Linked DNA regions of Canis lupus familiaris. The protein of the gene in region 1 purifies or fractionates together with the protein of each later gene. This does not show direct contact. Links are inferred from orthologs where the notes say so. Each region holds a gene or a part of one and is shown in the gene's direction. Other genes may lie near its edges.

Region 1 (7,745 bases):
GGCCGTCTTCCCCCCCCTGCCAGCGGGAGCGCAGTGGGCCGACCTCCTAGGCCCGCGCTTCGGTGCTGGGGGCGCGCCCTCCCCGCCCCCCGAAGAACCCTGTGCCCGGGAATGGGAAAGCCTCCTCTCCTCGCCTCCGACGCGCAGCGCCGGGCCCCTTTCCTCCCGGGGAGGTGGATTCCAGGGCACCGCAGACTCCTCCCCAGGTAGGGCAGCTCCCGGGGAGGCGCAGGGGAGCGCGCGCTCACGGCAGGGACCCCGGGCGGGGTCGGCAACCGGAGACACAGGTGCGAAGTTCTGCCTTCCGCCGCCGACCTCCCTTCCTTGAACCTGCTCCTCGTCTCCCATCCCCCACCAGGTAGCAGCATCCGCTGCTCGGGGCAGCGCAGCTCGGCTCCGGAACCCTGCGACCCGGCGGCACAGCTGGAGGGCAGGGCGTCCCGCGTAGCCTCTGGCCCACCGCAGGCCGCGCACGCGGGTTTCGGTTCTGGAGACCCGACGGAGCCCTCCCCTACTCCCCCGGACCCCCGCCCGCTTCCCTCTTCTACGTGTGGCCTCCCCCCGCCCCACGCGGGCTCCGACCGACACGGACCGCGAGGGTCCCGCAGGTTGCGACCTCCTGCGGCGCTCCCCGGAGGGAGGCCGAGCGCGAGGGCGGGGCCGGGGCCGGGGCCGGGGCCATCCGAGGGGCGCTCTGGGCGCCGCGGGCGTAGCGAGGGCCGCCTGCGAGCACCGCGCGCCGGGACAGCCGCTCCGGGCGGCCTCCGCGTCCTGGCGCACCTCCCCGGGCGGCGCGTCACTTCCCTGCGCTTCACCCGCAGGCCGCTCCGGCCCCGCTCCGGCCCCGCTGCAGCCCCGCTCCTCTGGGCGGCCCCGGCCCGCCTGGTGGTGCTCCCCGGGCAGGGCAACGGGCGCGGCGCCCCTCGGCCGGCGTGGAGGGGGCCGGGGCTCAGGCGGCAGGTCGGTGGCGGCGCACGGCCGGGCCGAGCCCTCCGAGCAGCGGGGCCCGCAGCGGGGCGCACCCGACAGTCCCCGGGCCCGGCGCAGCCGCCGCAGGGAAGCGCAGCGCAGCGCAGCGCAGCCGCCGCAGGGCGAGGCCGGCCCCGGCTCTGCGGCCACCGGCCCCGGCTGTCCGGCCGCGGGGGGCACGTGCGTGGACGCGGGTGCTTGTGTAACCAGCTCCCCCGGCGCCGCGCCCGCCCGCCGCCCGCCACTCGCCGCCCCACCGCCGCCGCTCGCCGGCCGCCCCCGACCCTCCTCGGGGACTGGGAATTTGGAAAGTTCCCCAACTAGGGCACACGTGACCGCCCCTGGAAGTAGTCCCGGCCGCGGCCCGCGGAGCCCTCCGCCGCCCCTTGAAGCCCCTCGGCCCCGCCCACCCGCCGGGCCGGCGCTCCCTCCCGGCCCGGACTCCTGGCTCGGGCCCGGGGCGCAGCCCGACGCGCGGACGCCCACGCCGGCCCGCGGCCATCCAGCCGGCCGGGTTTTCGCGGCGGCCCGCGGGGGGCGGGGCCAGGCGGCCTCGGAGCCCGGAGCCCGGAGCCCGGAGCCCCGAGCCCCGAGCCCCGCGCGGACCGGGCAGCAGGCGCCCCGAGGGACGGACGCCCGCTCTCGGGGGCGAGGCCGGGGCGGCGCGGTGGTCGCGTCCCCGGGGTCCTGGGCCCGCGGCGGCGGGGGTGGGGCGGCGGGGCGAGCCGGGGGCGGGGACACGCGCGGAGACACAATGGGGGGAGTTCCTCGGGCTCACGCCGACACGCGGGGGGCGGACACGCGGGGGGCGGACACGCGAGGGACAGGCACGGGGGGACACGCGGGGGGACACCGACACGCGGGGACACAATGGCGGTGTTCCTCGTGCTCACGCCGACACGCGGGGGACGGACACGCGGGGGGCACAATGTGGGTGTCCTCGTGCTCACACCAATGCGGGAGGGACGGGGGAACACGCGCGGGGGGTGCTCGTGGTCACACCGACACGCGGGGAGCAGGCACGGGGGCAGTGGCCACGCGAGGGCCATAGTGGGGGTGTTCCTCGTGCTCGGACACGCGGGGAGCGGACACGCGGGGGCACACGGGGCGGACACAGGGAGCTGCGGGCGGGGGAGGGGCGCCCCGGGTCCGCTGGCCCCGCCCTCGCCCCCTGCGCCCCCGGTGCGCGGCGACCTCCGTCCGACTCGGGTCCCCGACGCCCCCGCCCGCCCGTCCGTCCGTCCGCCGCTGCAGGAGCGGCCGCGGCAAGTGCAGCTCCGGGGGCCGCTCGCACTGGGCATGCGCGGCGGTCGCCCCCCGCCCCTCCCCCCGCCCGGCCCCGGCCCCCCCCGGCCCCCGCCTCCCCCCGCCTCCCCCCGGCCCCCGCCTCCCCCCGGGCTCCGGGGCGCCGGGCTCGCGGCGGCGGCGGCGGCGGCGGCGGCGGCGGCGGCGGCGGCGTGGCGGGACTCTTTGTGCGCCGCGGCAGGATACGCGGCGGGGCGGGCGTGCGCGCTGCTCGGCGCCTCGTCTCGGAAGCTGCAGCCATGATGGAAGTTTGAGAGTTGCGCCGCGGAGAGGCGAGGCCGCGCGCAGGGAGGGAGATGAGAGACGGCGGCGGCCGCGGCCCAGAGCCCCTCTCAGCGCCCGTGAGCAGCCGCGGGGGCAGCGCCCTCGGGGAGCCGGCCGGCCGGCGGCGGCGGCAGCGGCAGCGGCAGCGGCAGCGGCGGGCGGCCCGCCCTCGGCCTCGGCCTCGCGCTCGCGCCCGCGCCCGCCCCCCCGCCCGCGCCCGCGCCCGCGCCCGCCCGCGCCCCCGCCCTCGCGCCCGCCCGCGCGCCCCCGCGCCCGCCCGCGCCCGCGCCCGCCCGCGCCCCCGCCCGCGCCCCCCGCGCCCGCGTCTAGCCGTGCTCCCGTCGCTCGGCGCCCCGCGCGGGGGACCGTGGAAGCCGCGGGCCCGGCCGGGCGGCGGCGGCTCCGGGGAGGGGGCCGCGGCCGCCGGCGCCCCGCTGCCCCCCCCGCTCCCGCCCGCACCACGGCGGCGGCGGCGGCGGCGCGCGCAGGGCCCCGGGCCGCCCGAGAGCCTGCCCCCCGCCGCCGCCCGGCCGCCCGGCCCCCCGGCGCCGCCCCGGCCCGCGGCCGCCAGCCCGCCTGAGCGCGCGCAGGCCCCGCCGCCGACGCCCGCCCCGGCCGCGCGAGGGCCGCCCGCCGCCAGGCCCGGGGCCGCCTGCAGCCTGCGGAGGAGGCCGCGCCGCCCGCCGCTCCTGCCGTCTCTCTCCTCCTTCCTCTCCAGCCACCGGCTCCCAGACATGACAGCCATCATCAAGGAGATCGTCAGCAGAAACAAAAGGCGCTACCAGGAGGATGGGTTCGACTTGGACTTGACCTGTATCCCTTTCCGCGCGGCCGCGGGCCCCCGCACCCGCACCGGGACCCCGCACCCGCACCCGCACCCGGGACTCGGGACCCCGCGCCCGCACCCGCACCCGCACCCGCACCCGCACCCCGGACCCCGGCCTCGGCTTCCCCGGCCCGGCCTCCGACCTCGGCCTCGGGGCTCCGGCCCGGCCTCCGACCTCGTTCCCGGCCCCGGCCCCGGCGCCCCGGCCCCGGCGCCCCCGGCCCCTCCGCCCCTCCGCCCCTCCGCCCGGCCGCGGCTGTCGGGCGGCGGCGGGTCCCGGCCCTGCGCGCGCCCGGCCCCTCCGGAGGGCCATTGTCCGCGCCCGCGGGACTCGGTGCCCCTCGGCGGACCCCGGAGCCGGGAACCCGGGCTGCCCGACGCGCGGAGGGGACGCGGCGCCCGGGCTCCGGGGTCGAGCACGTTTCGGTCAAACCTTGGCTTTAGGCCCCCAGATCGACGGCACAGATTAGATGAAGATGAAAATTAGCGTTGCACGTATGCAGATTGCATCAGAATCTCGCAGTGATTTAGTTTCCTGGGTTGCTCGCATTGATAGACTTTTTTTTTTTTTTTAATTCGTAATGGGAGTTGTGAGCTGATTTGCATAACTTTGGAAGCAGAATCGCTCTCAGCACTCGGGGCGTTCGTTGGAGGGCACAGAAAGTAGGTTCGCGTGTGCTCACGCCGAGTTGAATTACAACCGGGAACTGCCTCTCCCAAGTTGTGTAGTTCGCGATCAATAGTGTCACAGGTAACGCACGTCCTGAGCCGCTCTTGCTGCTCGGTCTTTCTGAAATTTGCCTCCCCCTCCCCCTCCCCCCCTCCCCCCTCCCTTGATGGGGTGATCCAGGACAGGGCATGGGATTTTGCAGCTCAGCCGCATTTTAGGTTCAGTGGTCTTGTCTCACGTAGCAGAATGGGGATTGACTGCTTCTTGATGCCGGAGGAGCGTGTTGTGTGGGTTCTGGGGTATTGTGTGCAGCAAATCGTGATTGCAGACATGAAGCTTCAGTTCTTCCTTGAAATGCAAGTGCCACTGCGAGTCCAGAACTGCTGCTCACCTCATCCAGCTTTCAGGACTCCTGACGCCGCGTGATGTCCGTTAATTGTACTCGGGCTCGGGTGTAAGGTCAGGTGTAATTTACCAGCTAATCACCAGCAACGCAGGCAAGAGCGGATCACTCCAGCTTCGCATGGTCTAGGTATGTTAGCTGGTTTTCCACACAGTGTCTTGAATTTACTGACTCAGGTTGTTGAATGACACAGAAACCCGAGAATTTTTAACAGGAGTATCGTTTCGGTTGCCTAAAAGTTAGGCCTTTGTACCTGAAAAGATAGCGGTTATTGAAAGGCATTGATCTTGGCAGTTTCAGGTATAATGAACTGGTTTTGATCAAGAGTTGGGGCAGAGAGCCCTCCTTTTTTTTTTTTTTTTTTTCCCCCAGAATGGAAAGTATCACAGGCGTTCAGCGTTCCTGCTTAGGCCAGTGTCTAAGGCATGAAAAACAGAATTGACTTGTGGGTCTGAGATGCCCACAGCATCTTATTAACAAGGCCTCTGTGAAGGCCAGAAGTTTGGTGATGTGAATTATAACAGTGGACGGTATTTAGTTCAAACGTGATTGCGTCGGTTGTTATTGGAGGATTCTTAATAAAGATCATTTTTAGCGAACACCAGTAAACATTTTGCCTAAAGGTGGAGTGGCGCTGAAGGATCCATATGTCCTGCTAAACACTGTGGGGAGGATTTGGTTTTTGAAGAAAATTCTTTACATCTGAAGAGGTTTTTTTTTTTTTTTTTTTTTTTTTATAATTCCCTTTGGATTACATAGCAGCACATAAACGTGCACAGCTAATTCTGCCCAAGTGTCTGTTTTGAGCTGAAGGTAAAAGTCACCGAAGAAGGAGCTTTCTAGCACACAAAACGTAAGTTTTCTGTTGATTAAAAAATTATGTATTAGAAGACTATTTAGAAGTTTTGGAGTCTGCATTGATTGCAACACTGGTCAGGCTGAACTTGACCCGCTTGCCTAGAAGGTGACCAGTTGCTGGACAACTTCTGATTTGTAATTTATTTCAAAAGCAATCTAGCGTTAGTGTGAACTGACAGCCGTCTGGGTGTATAGGAACAAATTGATTACACGTTTCTTTGACTTTTTAGGAAAAAATCCCCGTGCAAAAACCAATGTCTGTGGATGCTGTTTGGTAGATTGCTTTTATCATTCAGAGTAGGTTTATTTTTACGTTACCCATTTGCTCTAAAATAGTCAGGGCTTTAAGATTCAGATCGTTCTGCGGGGTTCTTACACAGGAGTCCTGAGCTGGTTGGCCAGCTCGCCTTTGACTTCACAGGTGTGTGCCTCCATACCTGAAATTTACGTGACCTAGAGACTGTTACTAGAAGGGTACTTTTAGTTAGGGTGTGCATAGAAAGCAGTGTCAGACGCTGCGTCAAATGACTAGTAACACTTGATTTCTAGAGTTGTGGTTTTATTGAGCCAAATATATGAAAAAAAAATCATTTAGGAAAAAGTCAGTGAAGGGCTCTTTTTTTTTTTTTTTTTTTTTTTTGTTAGTTGGACTTCCAATAATTTTGATTACACCAGTGCACTTTGGTTTGCTTGGTTTCGCTTTAGGGTTCTCTGTGTATTGTGGGGGGAAATTAAGGTGGCCATTGAGGACTTTGGCAGGTTGTAGTGTCTGCTTCAGCAGCTAGCCTGTGAGAAGTTACGTTCCCTTATGAGAGTAGTGATTGGAGCATTTCTATCTGATAAGAAAGATGAAGAACGTAGTGATTTCTCAGAGGAAAACTGAAGACGATTATTTGCAAAATTGAGTTGTCCTAAAAATAATTTGTTAACATCTGTTAGTCTGGAAAATGGTGGTGACCATGAGACTAAAAAAAATTTTAGTGTCTTTAGATTTCATGGGAACTTTAGGCTCTGTTTGTATGTATTTTTACATCTTGATAAGTTTGCGTCTTTTCAAATATTAACCATAGGGAGTATTTTTAACTTGTAGAGGGTAACAGTGACTATGGAAGTTAACTGTATTATCTTTTAAGATCAGTGATTACTGAAGTGCCCGTATTGTGAGGTGGTTTTTTTTTTCTTTTTTTTTTTGTTGTAGTTGTTTTGTTTTTTTAAGATTCTATTCACAGTTTTTATTTTACACTGTTTTGTATCTGCTAAGTTGTATTTCTTTTCCGAGCAACATGACTGGGCATCCTGATCGCTGTGTAACAGTTTACAAACTTCATTTTCATAAAGATTGTTCAAGAATAGAGCGCATCTAAAAGGAGAATAATTCACAGTTTATATGACTTTGTATAAGGAAAAAGGAATTTTATTGCTGTCCATTGTAAAAGTTTGCACAGGAGTACAACCATCAGTACAGATTTTACATTGCTTATGATACACTAAATGAATAATAGATGAATAAGCGTCATAAAATATGGTGAGGTATAACCACCGTAGTTTTACATTTATTTTTAGAGAGCATAGAAAAAGATGCATTGGTGTTCCTTACCTTTTAGAATTTTACTTTAACACGAGAAAGGCGGCTATTGATATTTTAGTTTTTATGTGGGACGGTGTATCTGCTTTTTCCTAATAACCACTCAAAAAAAATACTCAAACTTCTTAATGTTCGAGGTTTCCTTGGTTTTTAGAAGTGAAATCTCTGATTCTTATTTTCACATGTTCTCATTTTGAGAGTTGCCCCGTTTGCTGTTGATTTGTGTGGTGATAGCTTAGTACTTTTTAATATATCTTAAGCCACTTAATCACTTCAGTGACTTTTAATGAAGGAATATTTATTATGGGAAAATCAGTGCACAAAGTTTCAACATTAATTCACTCTCAGTAAACATTGTACTGTAAAGTTTTGACCTCAGCCTTTTTAGTAAGACAGATGTGTAGGAAATGTTTTTATACTACAGTAATGTATGTGAAATGGAGTTTGTAAAGAGAGATTGAGAAGTGTGCATGCATATGATAGTTTCTCACTTCCTTGGAATGTTTGGGCTTGGTCATGGTACAAGGAAGGATTTAGCTTCCAGAAGCTATGTTATTAATTATCATGTAAAACATTTCTTTGATATCATTTTTTTTTTCCCCTTTAGAGACCACGAGTTCTTAAGTTCTGTTTCTATCTTGCAGAGACCTCACTCTTACCTTTTTTCTCCCTCTCTGTTTTTGTGAGCTAAACTTTGATTTTAAGTGAGGTCAGCATTGGAGAATTCTTTTGGTGACCTGAATTCTTTGAGAAAATGTGTTAGAATTTGTTCTAAGGATGGAGAGACTTAAGACATTTGTATCAACGTCTGAGATAGGGGTCAGTAATGATTTCAGTAAATATTCAGTTTTACAGTGGCTTTCTG
Region 2 (7,140 bases), on another chromosome or scaffold:
AGAATATCTCAGAAAAGAGTACAAGACTCAGAAGATGAAATTCAGCCACAAACTAAAAAAAGTTTTTCAACATTGTTTTTAGAAACTGTAAAACGAAAAAGTGAATCCAGGTGAGTTACTAAGAAGCTGCCTTTGAGGCAATTTTATTTTACATTCTGTGAACAATATCAAGGATTCTTAATGCTATTTAAATAGATTCTTAATGCTAAATGCTATTTATATAGAAGTTAATCTTATTTGGTACAAATTTTAATTGAAATTATGCCTAACTCTCACAGCAAATCACTCCCAAAGCCATCATTAAATATCTACTAAATTAAATGTGAAAGACAGTAAGTTTTTTCAGCTTTCATTGCTTCTGTTCATTAGCACTTTCAAATCTGTATGATACCAAAGAATGAAGGCAGTATTTAGAAACAGAATTATGTCATGATGTATTTCACTATTAAGGGCTTTAACACTTTTACTTTTCTTCTGCTTGTGTTAATAAATTTTAGTCTGTTTTGGCCTCCTTAAAACCTTTAGAGGTTCTTCAGTGTCCATACAGTGATCTTAACTGGCTGCACATTACAGTTAACTACAATTAATGTCAGCTAGGGTTGAGAACCACTGGCCTATATAAACTTCAGATTTGTCAGCTGGTATTTAAAACCTTCACTCTCCCTGGTTACCTGTTTCTGCCAACTTGGTCATACACATTTGCATTTGTCTGTTTTGGCATACCATTTTTCCCTTGTCATATGCTAGTCTTTTTCTTTTCTGGTGACATCTGCTTCCTGGGTCATGGATGGCTATCTTCTTTCTACAACCTCACATGGCAGATGATAGCAAGAAGGCTTTCTGAGGCTTCTTTTATGAGGGTGTTAATTCTATTCATTAGTGTTCTACCCTCATGACTTAATCACCTTGTAAAAGCCCCATCCCCAAATACTATTCCACTGGGGATTAGGTTTCAGTTTATAAATTTTGGAAATATACAGACATTCAGTCTATAGCAAGTGTCAACGTTGTTTCCTAAGGATATCTTCAGTTTGACTAATCATGATGTTTTGGAAGTCCCTTGAAGTAAAATAGAGGCGCAAATTTAGAGAATTCTTATTGGCCGGTTTAGGAAGGCTTAATTTTTAAATTCTTAGCATTACTTCTTTATATACAAAAACTTAATAGATGAGTTATATACAGTAAGGCAAATTAAACCTGTTTATAACAGATTGGCTATTTCTCTAAATGTTGAAAAGTAATATTTCTGTTTAAATATTCATACATTGTGGTTTTCTATTTATATTGACTTGGTATTCATTAGATTTTCTAGAGTTTTCTAATCATATAAACTTGCAAAACTCTACTTGTTAGAAGATAGTATATTTCTTAGTGTATATATATGTGTGTGTGTGTGTATAAATATATATATATTTATATATAGAGATTATAAGATTTATCAGGGGTTTGAGATTAGAAAAGTAGAGAAGGCATTTTCATTTCATAATCTTTTTGTATATTTTATTAATGAAAATATAGAAGAGGCAGACACGATAATGCTTAAGGATCCTGACTCAAGCGGAAAAGGCAGAAACAGGAGTACATATGCTAGCTTCAGAGTTTGGGTGTTTACCCTAAGTTTTTACTTATGCATATCTCACTTCAGTAGGTGTTTTGCTTGAGGCTGTTGTTATAAAAACGAAGGAAATGCAGAAGAGTCCATCAGATTACTATCCTTTGAATAATTCCTTCCTTCTCTAGAAAGCTTTCCCAACTAATTGGAAGAGATGCTGTTTAATTCCTATTAGATTACCTTTCTAGATACTTTTCATTTATTTCTATACTGTGATTCCAATATTAAAACTTATTTGAAGACGTATGTGATTATCAAACTTGGAATGAATTTTTATATTATTTAGTGCATAAATTTGTAGTGTTTTCTTAGACTATTATACTTGAAGATGCCTTGGAAATGACATTGTTTTGGATGTAAAGAAATCTGGCCCCTAAGAGACATCTATACAGACCTAGAATTAGTATAACAGTATAAATAATAATGGCATGCATTTTTGGACTGTAGGTCAATGTCTCTGGGCTGTTTAACACATCTGCGGGTTTCAACTATTCAATATATATAATGGGTTGGGGGAGCCTTAAATTAGTTGATGTCTAGGCTTCCTTCCAGCTCTGAACTTCTGTGATTTCATTAGTGTTTTAAATGAGTATAATTGGGTATTACAGAAATGTAAAAGGAGAGGAGGATTTTCAAGGGTAAGAGAAAATTGACGAGATGTATACTGTTCTTTAAAAGATACATAGATTATATTTCCTATTTAGATTATTTTCTTCACAAAGCAAAGGTAAAAACTTTATTTTTTGAGCTATTACTTATTGTAACATCCTGTTTAGTCCTGTTGTTAGGCATATAGCAACTGCTCCACCTCATTCATCTCCTTCAAATGACCTAACGTTGTTAGAGGATGAATTTATAATTGATGAATCAGAAAGCAGTATTGCCAGTCAACCTTGGATTACTATACCCAGAAAGGCTGGGTCTCTGAAACAGTGCACAGTGTACCCTGCAGAGAGCTCTGCACTACTTCAAAGTAAGAAGTCAAAAGAAAAACATCACAGCCTGTCACCTACAGCTTTGACAAGTGACAAACATTCTGACACAGCTTATGCAGTAGAGACGTCTCCGCCCTCTGAACAAAGAAGACTGGGTAGAAGTTGTGCTTCGACAAATGAACTGGAAAATGATTATAGATCTACAAAACATGAAATGTATTATGAGAATGCAGAGAAATCATCTGGAAAGAAAAAGACTATACAACAACAAGAGAGAGGAAAATTTAAGGCCAATATCCTTGAAGAACAGGTTGATATGGAACAATCGAAAGATAACAATATAAATGTGTCACATATCACCCAAGATAAATTACAGAGAAATTCAGATAGAAATATGGAAGAGTGTGAAAAGGTGATAAATGTTGGTATTTCCAAAAAACAGATGCTGCCTGTGGGTAAGTGTTTTATATTAAGTATAACTATGAACAGTATTCCACAACTTTGTTTTTATAATATTTCTGTTTAGCTTTGGGAAGTAGGCAAAGTAAAACTAAATCTGTAGGCTCTTTTCTAGCATCTGTCTTTTACCTACAACTAAATTCTGAGTCACTTGAGTTTTGTGTAGCTTCTAAGATGGTAGTATATATAAAGGGAAAAGTGAATGGGAAAGACTCATAAACCAGGTAGTTACCAGAATATGAATAAGACAACATCATATATTCTTTGAGGTTTATTGAAATATAAACTGGGAAGAAAAAAACAAGATTAGTATGGGGCTATTTATTACAGAATAAAATTCATACTCTTTTATTCCATCATTTTCTCATTAATCTAACAGTAAATTGCTAGACACTGTATTTAGGTAGTGAAATTAACAAAGATTACTGAGACACAGTTATCACCATTAAAAAAATCGATCTAGTAGTGTCTGTAGACTAGCAGATATACACATATATTCATAGGCCAGTAGTAGAATTAGAGACAGTTATCCAAGTAATATCTCAATAGATCTTTTTATCTTGTTTCACTATATTACTTATCCAAGCTGGGAGACTTGAGAATTAAAAGGGATTTCAGGACAGGAAGCATAAACTGAGATTGTCTCAGACAAAGCTGGAGTATGGTTATCCTCTTTATGTCATTATTGTATAGTGATTAAGGTTTGTAATGATGAAACTCTCATGAAGAAAAGATCCATTTATATTCTTTATACCGCTTTCTAAGTAATAGAAAAGGTAATTTTTCTTACAGGTTTCTTTAGAATAGTTAATGGAATAGAAAACACTTAATAAATGTATTAGATATTTTATATGTACATAATATAATTTAATCCTTCTTGATAATCCCATATGTTAGGAGATAACACTCAAGGTTAAAAAAACTGGCTGAGGATCTGTCTCCTCGTTAGAGCCTATATTTTTTTTTTTAATATTTTTTTTAATATTTTTTTTAAATTTTTATTTATTTATGATAGTCACAGAGAGAGAGAGGCAGAGACACAGGCAGAGGGAGAAGCAGGCTCCGTGCACCGGGAGCCCGATGTGGGATTCGATCCCGGGTCTCCAGGATTGCGCCCTAGGCCAAAGGCAGGCGCTAAACCGCTGCGCCACCCAGGGATCCCAGAGCCTATATTTTTTAAGCACTATAAAGAAGTTTTGAAATAAGTGGAAGTGTTTTTGGTAGTCATTTGAAAAAACTATTAGTTAACCAGAAAACTCTCTTCACTATAATTGTGTTTGTACCTAGAGGTTCTAGATGACTATAACATATTGCTGATAAAGAAGGGAGAAAGAGGTAAAGTACGGTGTTTAAGCTAGTTTTTATGAAAAATTCCACTTTAATTATTACTTATTCAATTACTTTAGCTTTCTTTTTGTATAATCTATAACATAGACTTTAAATTACCTGAATTAATGGTTGTCACACATTAGTTTTGTCTGTTCGTACCTTTGTGTATTTGAAAAATTCTGCTTAAAATAAAGGGAGAAAAAAGCCACCGTTTTTATTTTGTGGACCTCTCTTGTAAATGTCCAAATGTCCCAGGTTATTTTTTAAAAATATTTTTATTTATTTATTAGAGAGAGAGAGCATGAGCAGGGTGGTGGTGGCAGAGGGAGAGAGAGAAACCGACTCCTCGCTCAGCAGGGAGCCGGATGAAGCAGGGCTAGAACCCAGAATCTTTGGAATCATGACCTGAGCCTAAGGCAGATGCTTAAGTGATTGAGCCACCCAGGCTGGCCGGCTGGCTGGCCTGCCTGCCTGCCTGCCTTTCCTTTTCTCAGGAGGTGGGTATTTTAAGAAAATAAAAAGAATCTGACTAAACTGAAGTTACATTATAGGAAAGTTTTTTTTCTTATTAGTCCCTTAAAATATGAATTCACAAAATTTGAAGCTACAAAAATTTTTATTTATCCTAAGTTCTTAGGAAAAAAACATTGTATCAAGAAAGTATACTTGAAGGATACTCTGTTTAATTAAATGCCAAATTCTTCACATTGATTTTCAGGTATATTAAATTCTTCTTTATCTAGATTGTTTAGTGACTATAATTTCTGATTAATTACCAGTTGTATTAATTTTCTATCACTGTCATAACAAATTACCACATACTTAGTGACTTAAAAAACATACATGTATTTTATAGTTCTATGGGTCACAAATCTGAAATAGATTTCATTGGGCTAAAATCAATGTGTTGACAAGGTTGCTTTTCTTGTGATTCTGGGTGAGAATCTGCTTCCTTGTCTTTTCCAGCCTCTTGAAGTTGTTTATATCCTTGTATCATGATTTCCTTCTTTTATCTTCCAAGCCAGCAATACCAGCCTTCTTACATTTCCATTTTCTTTTACCTCTTCTTCCATTGCCCTTTCTGACCACTACTTTTAAGAACACATATAATTAGATTGGACCAGCCTAGATAATCCAGGATAAGTCTGATTCTCCTATTTTTTTGTTTGATTTCCTTCTATTCTTTATTGACTTCTTTTTCTCATTTCACTTATAAATTTTCGTGATTCTTTCCATATTCCTCAAGTTTAATAGTTTGCCCTTTGTTCTTCCTTTATATTCATACCTTGAGAAAATTATTCCTTTGCTTCCATCTGAATTATTTTCCCAAATTTACCTTCAGAGTAAAAGTCTGGTCTTGTATTTCCTGTATTTCCAGATTTCAACCCGAATTATGTTCTCATCTTTTTGAAAAGTTCTGTACAGTTTCATCTTTAATTATGTGATTATGTATAATACCTATCTGCTCCTTTGGTCTTACAGACTTTATGTAATTTGTTTACTCCATGAATATTTCCTACTTAATAGGGGTTTAATTCTTTTTTTGGATCAGAAGTCTTTTCTCAGATGCTTCATAAATGCTGGTTTCTTGATTTATTTGATGATCAAGAAAATTTTTCATTCTGTCTACTAACATCTAATATTTTAAACCTCTTCCTGAAAAAAATTTTCCGTTTTGGTGGTTGTGCCCCTCTTTGCTGTAATATTTGTATTGAAATATCTTGTATTTCCCTGATTTTTCCTTCTTGTTGTCAGCCACAAAAAACAAAACTAGAATTGATCTCACCTTTCTGCTAGATTCTTTTCTTACATCATTGGGATGAAATGAAATTACTACTGGTACCAAACCTTTACGTTAGCTATGATTGCTTGCCATATTCATTGTTTCTTTTCAGTCTCTTTTTTCTTTTTAAATTCTATTTACAAAAATAATGTTTTTCCTTCATATAGGAACATCTTTTGAAACTTCATTTTAGGGCAGCCCGGATGGCGTTTAGCGGTTTAGCGCCACCTTCAGCCCAGGACGTGATGCTGAAGACCCGGGATCGAGTCCCACGTCAGGCTCCCTGCATGGAGCCTGCTTCTCCCTCTGCCTGTGTCTCTGTGCCTCTCTTTCTCTGTGTGTCTCTCATGAATGGATAAATAAAATCTTTTAAAAAAAGAAAAAAACTTCATTTTAAATCTCTTCTTTCAAAAATTAGATTGACAAAATCATGACCATTCAAAACAGAAAAACAATGGTTACCTTTTTTTTTTTGACTTGGGACATTGGTAAGTAGTTGGAAGAAGCCACATACTTTTCCTTTTCAGAATGTACTCAGAATGTACATTTTTGGGGGGCTCAGAAGTATATGTTCTCAAGCAATGTGAAAGGTTTACATTTAACTGACAGAAACAGATCTTATTGAGAACATTTGACTTAAAAAAAAGGAGATGAAAGAAGCCCACAGAATAAATTTAAGACATAATTGAAAGGGTTTTTTTTTTTTTTAATCTGTTGTGATTTTCTGAAAACTCTTTGGTTCCATAGATTGTAAATTTTTTTTTTATTTTCTTTAATTTAGGAAGCAAGAAAAATAGCACCAATGTTCCTTATACAGTGTATCAGAAAAAAGATAAGAAATCTAAAAAGAAGCATTTTCCTAGTGGGTCCAAGAAGAATAAGCTTATACCTGATGAAGTGACTTCAACTATTACAAGAAGTCGAAGAATTTCCCGGCACCCATCTGATTGGTGGGTGGTAAAATCAGAGCAGAGTAAGTATTTTATTTAAATGATGTTCATGGAGAGCTCCAAAAAGTCATT
Region 3 (7,140 bases), on another chromosome or scaffold:
CACACACAGGCAGAGGAAGAAGCAGGCTCCATGCAAGGAGCACAACTTGGGACTGGATCCCAGGTCTCCAGGACCACGCCCTGGGCTGAAGGTGGCACTAAACTGCTAAGCCACTGGGGCTGCCCTTGTTTGTTTTCTTAAGTGATTTTTCAGGAGCCTTTACATATTAAGCCCTGTCTGTGGTAGGATCTGCCAATATTTTTTTGCAGTCTGTCCATTTGTCTTTTTATTCCTTCTCCAACAATCTTTGCTGTGGTGTTTTAGGTTTTTATGAGGGTAAATATCAGGTTTTTAAATTTTATTTATTTTATTTTATTTTATTTATTTATTTTTTTACATATGTCTTCTGAGTTTTGGGTCATAATTAGGAAGGTCTTTCATACTCTGAGGTTAAAAAGAATTCTCCTATAGTTTATGCGGTTTTGCTTTTTTTCAAAGAAAAAACCACTTTTGTGGTTTTGTTTTTTTCAAAGAAAATTATGTATCTTGTACCTCTTTGGAATTTATATTCCCATAAGTATGTGAGTGTATGGATCCAACTTTATATTTTTCCTTGTGGTTACTTACCTAGTTGTATCCAAGCCATTTAATTATTACATATCTTCTCCACTGATTTAAAATACCACTTTTTTTGCATATAAAATTCCCATATGTAGTTGGGTCTATTTCTAGATGTTGGTTCTATTTCACTGGTTTCTCTGTTCATGTGTTAATGTGTTTGTTGTTTTGATTAAGAGCATATTTTAAAATCTGATAGAGATTTACACCTGGTGGCTCAGTTAGTTAAGCATCTGCCTTCAGCTCAGGTGGTGATCTGGATCCTGGGATCGAGTCCCACGCCAGGCTCCCCGCATCGGGCTCCCTGTTCGGCTGGGAATTTGCTTCTCCCTCTGTGTGTGTGTGTGTGTCTCAAAGAAGTGAAATCTTGAAAAAAAATCTGGTAGAATTTTTCACTTATCATTACTTTTCTTTCTTTATAATTTCCTGCATATTCTTCCTTTTCTTGTGTGTTATGTATAGATATTAGAATAAGGTTGTCAAGTTAAAAGGAAGTCCTCTTGATTTTGTTTTTATTGGGATCTCATTAAATAGATAGATTAACTTAAGGAAAAAGTGACATCTTTATGATGTTGAATCTTCCTAGCCAAGAGACTGATAAGCCTTTTTTGTTTTGTTTTGTTTAATTGACTTTTTTGGTGATCTGAGGAGCATTTGCTTCCTATGGATCTTGCCCATTTTTTGCAGAGTGTGTTCTTAGGTGTTTTGTGTTTTTGTTTCTATTGTAAGGAAAGAATCTTTCCTTTTTATTTCCTAGCTGCTTATCATTTGTGTATATGAGAGTTAATAAAATGTTAATTTTGTGCACGCCCAGCTATCCTGCAGAATTCTTTTTTTTTTTTTTAATTCAGGTAAAATTGGGATGCCTGGGTGGCTCAGCGGTTTAGCACCTGCCTTTGGCCCAGAGCGTGATCCTGGAGTCCTGGAATTGAGTCCCACATTGGGCTCCCTGCATAGAGCCTGTTTCTCCCTCTGCCTGTCTCTCTGCCTCTCTCTCTCTGTGTGTCTCATGAATAAGTAAATAAAATCTTTAAAAAAAATAAATTCAGGTAAAATTCATGTAACATAAAATTAACTATATATATATATATATATATATAAATTAAATTAAATATAAATAAATTAATTAAATATATATATTTAAGTAGGCTCCATGCTCAGCATAGAGCCCATTGCAGGGCTTGAACTCAGGAGCCTGAGATCAAGACCTGAGATCAAAAGTCAGACCTTTAATCGACTGAGCCACCCAGGTGCCACCCACATAATTTTAAAATGTACGATGTACTGTCACTGCGTACACCCACAAAGCTGTGCAGCTCCTTCCTCCATCCAGTTCCAGAACATTTTCCTTACCCAGTAGGAAACCACGTGCCAATAAAGCAGTCACTCCCCATTCCTTTTCTCCCTGAGCTGCCACCAGTCTGCTTTATGTCTGTGTGGATTTGCCAGTTCTGGATATTTTCCATAAATGGGATCATATAGTATGTGAGCTTTTGTGACTAGCTTATGTCACTTAGCATCATGTTTTCAAGGGTCGTCCATGTTGAAGCAGGTGTCCGTATTTCATTCCGTTCTAAGAGTGAATCCTATTCCATAGTGTGGATAGAGTCCATTCCATCATCCTTTCATCTCTTGATAAGCATTTGGGTCATTTCCACTTTAGGCTCTTGTGAATAGTGCAGTTATGAATATTTGGGTGTAGTATTAAGGTCCCTTTCTTCAGTCTTCTGGATACGTACCCAGGAGTAGAATTGCTAGGTCATGTGTTTATTAACTTCTTGAGGAACTGCCACATTGTTTTCCATAGTAGCTGTACCATCTGACATTGCCACCAGCACTGTATTCAGGGTTCCACTTTCTTCACACTCTTACCAACACTTGGTATTTTTTCCTTCCATCTTTTTAAAATTATGGGTATCCTACTAGGTATGAAGTGTAATCTCATGGTTTTGATTTGCATTTCTTTAATGACTAATGATGTTGAACATCTTTTCATGTGTTTGTTGGCCATTTGTATGTCTTTGGAGAAATGTCTGTTCAAGTCTTTTGCCCATGTTTTAATTGTGGTATTTGTGCTTTTGTTGTTCCATTATGAGAGTTCTTTATATATTTTGTATACTAGATTCTTGTATATGATTTTCCAGAATCCTTTTTGTTTGTGGTAGATTTTTGGTTGATTCTCTTGTTTTTTTTTTTTTTTTTTTTTTTTTTTTTAGGTGTAGAATTATATCATCTACAAATAATGGTAATCTTTCTTCTTCCTTTTCAGTTTCATACTTTTGTTTTTTGGGGGCCAGGAGGGCCAGTTGCATCGGCTGTTACCTCCAAAACATTGTTAAATAATAATGGTAGTGAAAATGTTTATTGAGCTCCTTACTTTAATGGAAATGAAGCATCATTGTGTGGATTTTCCATGGTTATTTAACCATCCACACACCGTGAAATCCTCAGGTTGTTTGCAGGTATTCACCACTATTAGAAGCGCTGTGGTGAGCACTTTTACATGAATCCTTTCTATAGTTGACATGATTTGACATTATTTCCTTTGGATAAATTTTAAAGACTTGATACACATGGCCAGGTTGTTTGGGTATAATTTTATAATGGATGGCTTTGATTGTAAGGAATGGACTGTACACTGCTGGATTCCGCTTATACTTTTGCATGCAAATGAATAGGAATTTGTCCTTGCCTATTTTCCATCTACCCATGTTAGTGGGAAAGGAAGGGAGAAGGTGGCTGATCAGCCCCAGAAGGATGATTTTAGCTATTCTTAATAAGCTTAGGTTGGGAAAGGCCTTATGGATACCATGTGAACTGTTCTTTGTGTTTTTAGAATTTGGATGGCCAGGTTCCCTTGCATGTGGTGGTATGCATGTGGTTAGATGACGTCAGGTGAGGTTAGATGAGTCATACTCACCTGAGACTGTCCAGCCGGGACAGGAGCTTCAGCACACTGAAGCTTGCTGATAGTCAGGTAGGGCCTAGGGACCCAGATGAGAGATGTATGAATGCTTCTTCAAGACATCTTGTCTTGCTGCAGAAGTCACTGGGTGAGCTTCTGTTACTAAGCTCCCAGCTCTAGAAATCAGCTGACACAAATGTGTGCTGCTTCAAGTCAGTGGTCATTGCAGAATGTTGGTATCTAGGAACTACATAGGAATGCTAATGCTATTCTTACAGTTTATCCTATTTCTTTTTTTTTTTTTTTTTTTTTTTTTTTTTTTAAATTTTTTTTTTATTTATTTATGATAGTCACAGAGAGAGAGAGAGGCAGAGACACAGGCAGAGGGAGAAGCAGGCTCCATGCACCGGGAGCCCGACGTGGGATTCGATCCCGGGTCTCCAGGATCATGCCCTGGGCCAAAGGCAGGCGCCAAACCGCTGCGCCACCCAGGGATCCCGTTTATCCTATTTCTTGATTCTTTCTTTTTCATACTTCTGTTGTGGTTTTGGAATCTCCATGTCTGGATGAAATTTAGCCTAGTCATTACTAGTCCTTAAGATTGTTCCTGGAATCTTTTCCACATAAATACATATTAGAATAATTTTGAAATTTGAATGTCTTCTTGTGTTGAAGATGCTGAACATAATTTGTATGTTCCATGATTATTACTCTTTATATTTCCTTTAGTTTCAGATGCTTCATCAAGATGAATCCAATAAAAGGGAAAAGATCAAGACGAAGGGCATTGACTTTGAAGATGACCTGAGAGATGAAGTAGAAGATGCTGTCCAGAAAGTTTGCAATGCAACTGGTTGTTCAGTGAGTATTTCTGTCCTGTAGTAATGACAGTGGATGAACAACTGTTGCTATCCCTAGTTTACCTGCCAGTTTCATAGTACCAGTCTAGCTGCTCACACCCAGTGGGCCAGAATAGGTTCATGATGTCTGTGGTTTGATTAGAAGACTTAAATGAGAGCTGTTTATTCATTTATCTCTTGTTTGTTAGACTTTACCCAGTGCTGCTCAAAATCCTAAGAAGTATGTGGGGTTTATTTTTTTATTTTTAATTTTTTTTCCTGACTAGCTAAACATTTACCCTAGTAAAAGTGCAGTCTTGTAAAGGAATTCATTTATATTAAATGGTTAGTTATTTCAGATGACCAGCCTTATTGAAAATTAAGACATTTTCTAAATGGAAAAGGTCTTGAAACCATGCCTCAGTTCTCACTGTTACCTCTTCTTGTGTATCAGGCTGTTGACGTAGAGGCAGGTAGAAGAGTATACCCAGTCTTGAAGTGTTCCTTTGTTTCTTGGATAGGATTTTAATTTGATAGTCCAGAACCTGGAAGCTGAAAATTATAATATTGAATCTGCAATAATTGCCATGCTTCAGATGAACCAGGGGAAAAGAAATAGTAAGTCCATGATTGATATTTATAAGCTTTCAAAATGGTTGTATTGGTGATTCTCCAAACATTTGTTTTTAATCAAGGCATAGGTAGTGATTACACTGTCATTTATCACTTTCTGCATGTGGGCATGTTGTATGAGATCCTAGCCCTGCCTTAGGGAGAAGATAATCTGGAGTTGAGGGGGGCAGAGGGGAGATAATAAACTGGTATAATAATACCTACTGGAGTTGAGGGTATAGGGAACTGGGGAAATGGATGGATAGGCCACCTAACTAGTCTTGGAGGGATGGAGAGTGTCAGGGAAGACTTTATTCTTTTCAAAAGAAAAATCCCTTAGAAAACCAAAATGATAACTGAAATAGAATAGAGAGAGAAATAACTTATTTTTCTAATGGAAATATTTAGATACTAACATCTATCAGCTGGTGATAAATCAAGATTTTTTTAAACTTTTTTTTTTTTTAAGATTTTTATTTATTTATTCATGACACACGCACAGGCAGAGGGAGCAGGCCTCCTGCAAGGAGCCTGATATGGGACTCGAACCTGGATCCCGGGATCAGACCCTGAGCCAAAGGCAGACGCTCAACCCCTGAGCCACCCAGGCATCCCGGATTTTTTTTTACTTGAATTGGGTTAAATTCTGTGCCTCAGGAGATGGGAAAAAAGATGTAGAGTCTTAACTGTTTTTACAAGTTACTTATTAAAATGGTACAGTATTGCCACATACAAAATACATATTGCCAGTATGTGTCAGATACTGTTCCTGGCATTATAGTTTTCTGTGTGTTTGAGTATTTTATTATCCTCTTTATATTTTTGCTGTGCTTTCTTAGAAAGCTGTCAGGGACTCGGTCTTTGTGACAGTAAAACACCACTGTCTAGTGTCTCTGTCATTCAGTATAGTGTGTATTGGACATGTGTGGCTCAGTGAGTAAGGAACTAAAGTTTAAATATCATTTAACTAATTAATTTTAACTTAAATGGCCACATGTGGCTGGTAGCTGCTGTTTTGGGCAGTACAGGTTTGAAGCCTGTTTCCTTTCTGGGCTTTAGGTGCAAATGAAGGATTTCCTCCTAAAAATACATGTTAAAAAATAGTTTAATAAAAACACTCTGTAGGTGGGAAGCTGATGATTAGGCTGGTCAGCAGGTTATTTTTAAATTTATCTTCCAGATACTACTGGTTATTTCCCCACTAGGTTCCCTACTGTATGGTCTGGGTGTTAGAGTTTTGCTTCAAGGAAACTTGTTCTCCACATGACAGGTGATATTGGAGTCACTTAACAGTGTGTGTTGTTACATTCTCAATTTTAATTAAATACCTTTCTTTGGAAGATACAGAGGAGAACCTTGAGTCCGGCGGCCGAGTTCTGAAGCAATGTGGCCCTTTATGGGAGGAGGGTGGCAGTGGCACCCGACTCTTTGGAAATCAGGGTGTAAATGAAGGCAGAACTGAAAACAATAAGGAGCGGGCCAGCCCTAGTGAAGAAAACAAAGCAAATAAAAACCAGCTCCCAAAGGTATGAAAGGTGGGCTGCTGTAATTCACTGGCAGTGGTGGGGAACTTGGAGCTCATATTAGTGCCTCTTTTTTTCCTGAGTTCTAAAAAGAAGTTACTGTAGAAAAAAATACGAGAGTGCATATGGGGATGTCAAGAAGCAGAAGGAGGTCCTTGCTTGTCTGTTTTGCTATGTGCGGTGCTGAATAGAACTATGCCCTGAAATCCTCCTCTATGTACACACACACAGCCTCCCTTTCCTGCTCAGTGTCACTGTGTGTCTGGGTGCTTCGGTGTTAATCTGTTACACAATCCCCATAAGTCATCTCCATTGAGAAACTTTGTGTATGAATCTTTGTATTTTGCATTGTTGTTACTATTTTTTTTTTTGTGGCTAGAGTCCCAGAAGAGGAATGGACAAATTAAAGGGTATGGATATTTGAATCTTTTTAAGGCTTTTTGGTAAATTGTCAGATGGTTCCCAGAAGGGTTATCTGTCTCCCTCCCTGCCCCTGACTCCTGCAAGTAGGTATATGACACCATTCTTTTTACTGACTTTGGAATTCATTTTAAAGACTTTCACCAAGCAGTTCTAAGCCCAACATGCAGCATAATGTAAAAAGCCACAGGCAGAGGTAAAGATGCAATAAGCTTCTGAGGATTTTGTTAGGATTACCTGGGGCATTAAATTATGTAGAGAAAGGTGTCCTGTGGCATGTTGG

Evidence for each region.
Region 2: the proteins of PTEN (region 1) and CENPC purify together in Homo sapiens (affinity purification with western blotting; 3 studies listed by BioGRID, with this or other methods). This does not show direct contact. The link is inferred for Canis lupus familiaris from reciprocal best matches to the Homo sapiens genes PTEN and CENPC.
Region 3: the proteins of PTEN (region 1) and OTUD3 purify together in Homo sapiens (affinity purification with western blotting; 3 studies listed by BioGRID and IntAct, with this or other methods). This does not show direct contact. The link is inferred for Canis lupus familiaris from reciprocal best matches to the Homo sapiens genes PTEN and OTUD3.

What each region holds. Positions count from the first base shown.
Region 1 is NC_049247.1:38,115,097-38,122,841, forward strand, and holds the start of PTEN (phosphatidylinositol 3,4,5-trisphosphate 3-phosphatase and dual-specificity protein phosphatase PTEN), read left to right. Parts: upstream 1-3,164; 5' UTR 3,165-3,272; coding exon 3,273-3,351; intron 3,352-7,745. UniProt on the Homo sapiens protein: Dual-specificity protein phosphatase, dephosphorylating tyrosine-, serine- and threonine-phosphorylated proteins.
Region 2 is NC_049234.1:58,899,300-58,906,439, reverse strand, and holds part of CENPC (centromere protein C), read left to right. Parts: coding exon 1-110; intron 111-2,388; coding exon 2,389-3,002; intron 3,003-6,899; coding exon 6,900-7,091; intron 7,092-7,140. UniProt on the Homo sapiens protein: Component of the CENPA-NAC (nucleosome-associated) complex, a complex that plays a central role in assembly of kinetochore proteins, mitotic progression and chromosome segregation.
Region 3 is NC_049223.1:78,312,608-78,319,747, reverse strand, and holds part of OTUD3 (OTU domain-containing protein 3), read left to right. Parts: intron 1-4,192; coding exon 4,193-4,324; intron 4,325-4,823; coding exon 4,824-4,920; intron 4,921-6,255; coding exon 6,256-6,440; intron 6,441-7,140.